Linked DNA regions of Oryctolagus cuniculus. The protein of the gene in region 1 interacts with the protein of each later gene in a pairwise test. Links are inferred from orthologs where the notes say so. Each region holds a gene or a part of one and is shown on either strand. Other genes may lie near its edges. The genes, in order: LSMEM2 and LSMEM1.

Evidence for each region.
Region 2: the proteins of LSMEM2 (region 1) and LSMEM1 interact in binary tests that used the Homo sapiens proteins (3 or more experiments, as listed by UniProt). The two-hybrid records come from large-scale screens. The link is inferred for Oryctolagus cuniculus from reciprocal best matches to the Homo sapiens genes LSMEM2 and LSMEM1.

What each region holds. Positions count from the first base shown.
Region 1 is NC_091441.1:99,046,743-99,050,013, forward strand, and holds LSMEM2 (leucine-rich single-pass membrane protein 2), read right to left. Parts: upstream 1,690-3,271; 5' UTR 1,544-1,689; coding exon 1,129-1,543; intron 1,039-1,128; coding exon 853-1,038; coding exon of another isoform or gene 726-852; coding exon 592-725; 3' UTR 516-591; downstream 1-515.
Region 2 is NC_091434.1:131,179,261-131,181,953, forward strand, and holds the end of LSMEM1 (leucine-rich single-pass membrane protein 1), read right to left. Parts: intron 1,236-2,693; coding exon 1,105-1,235; 3' UTR 642-1,104; downstream 1-641.

The DNA.
Region 1 (3,271 bases):
AAGCCTTGCTCCCCGAGGTGGCCCACTTCCTTAGGGGGGTGGCAGCAAGGAGGCAAGGCTAGCTGGACTGAATCTGTATGCTGTTTTTAAAGATGATTCAAGATAATTAAAAGAATGCTCAGCTTCCATGCTCCTCACTCCTGGGTGTTTTTGCCAGCCCTCACGCCCAGCCATACCCCGGGCTTGGAGTCTCCCCAGTCTCACCTTTGCCCCGCCAGGCAGCGTCTTCTCAGGTGATCCCGGCTCCTACCGTCTCTGAGAGCCGAGGCTTGACCCCCACTGGGAGGCCCAGCAGAGTGGCAGCTAATTCTAGCTAATTCGGAACCACCCGGGGGTGGCCAGAGGACACTGACAGGCCAGCAGAGACATCCCCCCTGGAGGCTGGCGCCCCCTCCTCTGACCTGGGGCCACCCAAGCAGGACGCACCAGAAAGCATGGCCAGGCCTGGCCTGAAAGTCGGGGGGCACGGGAACCTGTGTATATAAAATCTCACCAAGGACTTCAAGTAGACGTGCTGACCGTGGCAAACACCTGCCAGTGGCAGCTTTATTCCCCCCCACACACACCCAGGCCCCAGGTCCAAGTGGTGTCTCAGCTGGGCGCTTGGGCCTCGCTGGAGTTGAGCCGCCGCAGCTGGCTGAGGCTGGCCAGGCGGAGTCTGAGCAGCGTCTCCTCCTGCGTGCGCAGCGTGTGCGCCAGGACACGCAAGGATTCACTCTGCAGCACTGGGGATGGGCAAGTGGGAGTCGGGATCTGCAGGCCTCAGGCCGCCCGGCCCGCCCTTCATTGCTGCAGCACCTGCAGTCGCTCTGGTCCCCACTGTCACCCCACCTTCCCGCTCCACGTACATACCGCTCAAGTAGACGGCCAGGACGGCAAGCGCCAGGCAGGTGAGGACCAACAGCGCCAGCAGCAGCAGGAACCCCCCACGGCCACACACGGGGCCGCAGCCAGCCTGGGCACACAGTGACGGGGGCAAGACACCCAGCAGCTCGTCCCAAGGTCGAGTCTCTTCAGTCAGGTAGGGGTGCAGTGAGCCTGTGGGGTGAACAGGACACCGGGGTGGGGGCAGTGCCCTTGCTCCCTCCCTGCCCCCAGTGCCTCCAGCCCACGCCTCTGCCCCCTCACCTCCGCTGTCCAGGTCACTGATGGACTCCACTCGGTGCAGGCGCACCTCTTGTACGTGGTTGGGGGCCAGCGGCCCCCTGCTCCTCTGGCTTGGCACTGATGCCACAGTGTCTGTAGGGGCAGTGTGAGGTTGATTCAGCTGGTGTAGCTCACCCCCTCCCTTCTCCCAGGTGGCCTCAGGCCACAGGGGCTTGGGGAAGATGGGGAATAGGAAGGCATTTGGTTCTACGTCCCCTAAAACTGATCGAGGAACGACCCTTGGTTGAGATGCAGGACCACCAGAGACCCCTGTCACCTGCTCTGCACAGCGACAGGAGGTGCACCGCTCCCACACAAGGGGCTTCAAGTACTCCGTGCCTGCTCCTTCAAGCAGTGGGTCAGCCTTGCAGGACCAATCCACGCATGCAGAATTCATCCCGACTCAGTCCATGCAGACCCTGTGAGGTAGCCATCAGGCGGCCCCGTGCCCGGCACCTTCTGGGAAGCAGCTCCATTCTAGCCACGGTGGTGCCCTTTCCCCTGGCCTCGGTCCAGCGAGTAACAGCCTCGCCGTGATGCTGCTCTGCTTCCACAAGGCCTGCTAGGTCCACTTCACTGCAGGACCCTTGGTTCTTAGGCCTCAGCTCCCTCCAGGCATCCCTGTCAGCTACCTAGGCCCTAGGTTGTTTGCAGTTCCGTTTGGAAATCAACCCCCTCACACCCACCATTCAGTGTGCAGGCGCCTCTGTTTCCCCAGAGTTAAGGACAGTTACAGAAGAGGAACACTGATCCAAGAGCAAGATTTTCCTGTGTGTGTGTGTGAAACCTTTCATTAGACTGTCCTCCACAGGAGCTGTCCACAGCCCTCCAGAGTGCAACATCACCACCACTCAGCATCCCCACTGAGGAAATATTTTGCATGTGCACATGTGCTCATTTGGAAGACTAGAAATAGCCTTCCTCCATCAGTCTGATCGGACAACTTCGCCTAGGGAATGTGACCACACTGTGTGTGTGAGGGAGGGAGAGGGAGAGGGAGAGAAAAAGAAAAGACATCTTGATGATCCATTCATCACCTCGGCCTGTGTAGTCCCTGAGGTCTGTGTACTTCCCTTGTGATGTTAATTGTTCAGGTGCATTGAAGTCTAGTTTGTGATTTCTAAATAATTTAATTACATTCTTTTCTGGCTGTTGACTTGAATTTTAAAATCTGGGTCCTTTAAGAGCTCCAGATGCACACCTAGAAAGTAGCTAATAAAGTGGGCAGACACTTCCTGAGTGTGCAGGGACAGCCTTGGGAGCTCTGGATCTGTCCTGCTCAGGCCAGTAACTCACCCCTCCCGACCAGGTCGAAACTACGCCTCGCCCTGCTCCGGAGTACGTCAAACAAAAACGCGGTGCTAGTCACTCTGTCGGGATGCTGGTCTGAGACATACAGTTCCTTCTCTGCACTTTGCTATGCTTTCCCACGCTTTCTAAATCCTACTGGGGAGTCGGCTATAGGAAAAACACACAGTAAATATTAAGACCCCAAATGAAAGCAAACAGCACTACCAGGGCCAGGCTCCCCTCCTGCAGTGCAGACTTGAGAATGTGGTGAGAGGAGCTGGCCAGCCACACCAAGCAGAGTTGTGGGCCAGGGAGCCCTATGCAGGCCCCCCCACACACCCAGGCACTTTCCTGTAGCTTCCTGGATCCCTACTGCTGTGGCCCCTCTGAGCCCAGCACTGAGATGTGGTGGACCCATAAGCATTGTGGGAACAGGCTGCTGACTAGCTGAGGGTCTCTGAATAGGCCAGGGGACCCCAACTCTGAACTAGTGGGGGATGTTTAAGCCCACGTTGGAGGAGGCCAGAAGCCTCTCTGCTTCCCAGTCCTGGCCAAGCGCCCACATGTTTCCTGGAACTAATGTCCACCCCCAACCCCAGCCTCTCTCCTTTCCTGAAGAAAGCTAATAGCCAGGCAGCTGCCCGGATGCCAACACCCACTTGGGCACAGCCCACAGTTGACTTATCCCTAGCAGGCAGCTCCCCCTAATCCTCCTTGCTGTGCTCAGCAGGGAAGCACGCAGGGCCAGAGGCGGGGAGGGCTGCAGGCATGGCGTGCTCTCCCATGCATGGGCTGGGTCCCTTCACTTGAGCTCCACATGAGAGTTAGTGGGGGC
Region 2 (2,693 bases), on another chromosome or scaffold:
TTTTTTGGGAATTTGTAAATTTACATGAGTATTTAAAAAGGCCTGTATCTGAAGATTTATAACACAGCTCTAATTCCTATCTTAGACCACCAGACCAAATTCTTTTTCCCAAACCTTAAGTTGATGTATAACCTTGCCTATGTGCCTGTTAGCTTTTAGAATTGTTGGTAGCCTCTAAATAAAAATAGGAATGCAAGGCTATTGGGCGGCATGCTCTTAAAATGGATATTCCTGTGTCCTATATCCTCATTTGAAAAACCCCAGTCATATATTTTGTGCCTTGTTTTTTGTGCTAAAACAAAGCAAGTTCCAAATGTTCCAAGCACAGGATTTCATACCATAGCTTAGCAAACACAATTCTGTCAGATTTTTTTTTTCCAAAATAATTGGTAGGCTGCTGAGGGATTTATAAAACTATGTATCTCCTTTGTCCCACATGTGAATGTGATCACCTGTAGGATGATTTACAGACTAGGAGCTCAGTAAACATCACTTGAATTAACAGCCTGGTCTTTCCTTTTTGACCCCTGGTCCCACCTCTACCCACAAAACTACTGCTCATGTTTTCACCAGTAAGTATCAGGTGGTAAACCAGCTCTGAATCCCACGCATCACAGCCCCTAGAGAAACAAGTCAACATCTAATCAGCCACAGAGCAGAAGCACCTTTATTGAAAAGAATGACCACCTGGTTCTCTTCAACACTGAGTAGAGCTCAATGAATTCTTTAGGCATTCGCAGGAATTTTCTAAGCTCCATGAGACATAATGAACCAAACTGGCACAGCGAACTCAACCCAGCGGCAATGCCCCTTTTGTGAGGAACATTGTACATATGCAGATCAATTCTGTTTTCTCAGGATCTTCCTTCACACTAGCCACCCACTCTTCACCCCGTTAAGTCTCAAGCACCCTACCGAAGGTGAGACTGTGAGAAGTACCCCCCTTTCTAGCTGCTCTCCCCAATCCTGTTTGCCTTGGAGTTGTTCCCTTCCCTGCTTGCCACAGGTTGGCACAGGCCTGGCTCTCTGCTAAGAGAATCTGCTGCCTTGAAGAAATGACTTGCTCAGTCTTGAGGTGTTAGCAGTTGCTCTCACAAAATCTCTTCAGTTCTGTTCTGGATCCAGCAGGTTGAGTCGCTTTATGATCATGTTGTTGATTTTCTTCAGATCATCTATGTCCTTTCCCTCAGCTACTAGTCGTCTTGACACGTCATCCATCCTGTTTCCAGTTTGGACTTCAAAATGGAAAACAGTGTTACCCTGGTTTCCAGTGAGTTCTACTGGTGCACAGCTGAACACTGAAAGCCACCCTTGACCAATTCTCTGTTCCCAAATCCCTGGGTCCCGGAGGCCAGGAGAGAAACTGGTTAAGACTGAAGCTGCCGGCCAGCACCACGGCTCACTAGGCTAATCCTCCACCTTGCGGTGCCGGCACACCGGGTTCTAGTCCCAGTCGGGGCGCCGGATTCTGTCCCAGTTGCCCCTCTTCCAGGCCAGCTCTCTGCTGTGGCCAGGGAGTGCAGTGGAGGATGGCCCAAGTGCTTGGGCCCTGCACCCCATGGGAGACCAGGATAAGTACCTGGCTCCTGCCATCAGATCAGTGTGGTACACCAGCTGCAGCGCGCCTGCCGCGGTGGCCATTGGAGGGTGAACAAACGGCAAAGCAAGACCTTTCTCTCTGTCTCTCTCTCTCTCTCACTGTCCACTCTGCCTGTCAAAAAAAATATAATAAAAAAAGACTGAAGCTGTCTATTAAGGGAGCTAAAATCTTTACAACCTAATGATGCCAGCCTGGAGTCCCATTGGCAGCTCCACACAGACATTGGCTGAGAAATTGATCATTGTGAGTGGCCAACAGAAATTGCCAGCATGTCTGATTATCTCCCTAGAAGTGACTGTGGCATTGTCTCATTTCTACAGCCATTCTCAGAAAATGATTTATCCCAATCATTGGGTAAATGACATTCTTCAAGTTCCATCCTATTTTGATTTGTTTGCTCTGAATTACCAGCCTGTAATGAATGTGTAATAATTCTCCTCAGACCACTCCTGAGCAAAGAGGCACAATATTTTCCAAACAAGCAATACTCAGCATTACAGTTAAGCAAGGGAATGGAACATTTGGAGGAGATCTGTTTATCAGAGTTAAAATTTCCAAGAACTAAGAACAAAATCACTGCTTTCTATTTGAGCTCCTTATCATTTCCATTTTGAGGTTTATTTGAAAGCATCTTTCAGAGGCTGATAATGTTGATAACAGGCTGGCTATTGGGCTAAGTTGATAACAAACATGAAAGATTCACATGCCCAACAGTTATGTCTTGCTCAAGTTAGAAAAATTATGTTGGATAAAATATGGTTCAAGACATGAGTCTTGGACACAGCTGCAGTGCTATGCAGAAAAAATACTTGCTTCTGGGGGAAAGTGTGGAGCTAAAGTCATCTGTAACATGTGACATCATTTCTCCCCCAGGAAATCTCCCTCCACATGAGTACAATTTCAGAATGTTTGAAGGCAGGAAAGGGCAGAAGAAATGACAGCATGATGCAACCCAGCAAAAGCGGCACTCTCCCCCTCAGACTCCTTCTGCTCTTAAATGATCTGGAGAAAAAAATCAAAGTAATTCCCCATGATTGTGTACAGGGTTCAGTGAGAAAACTGGCAGGCTCGGTGGGCATAACATGCAGAAGGG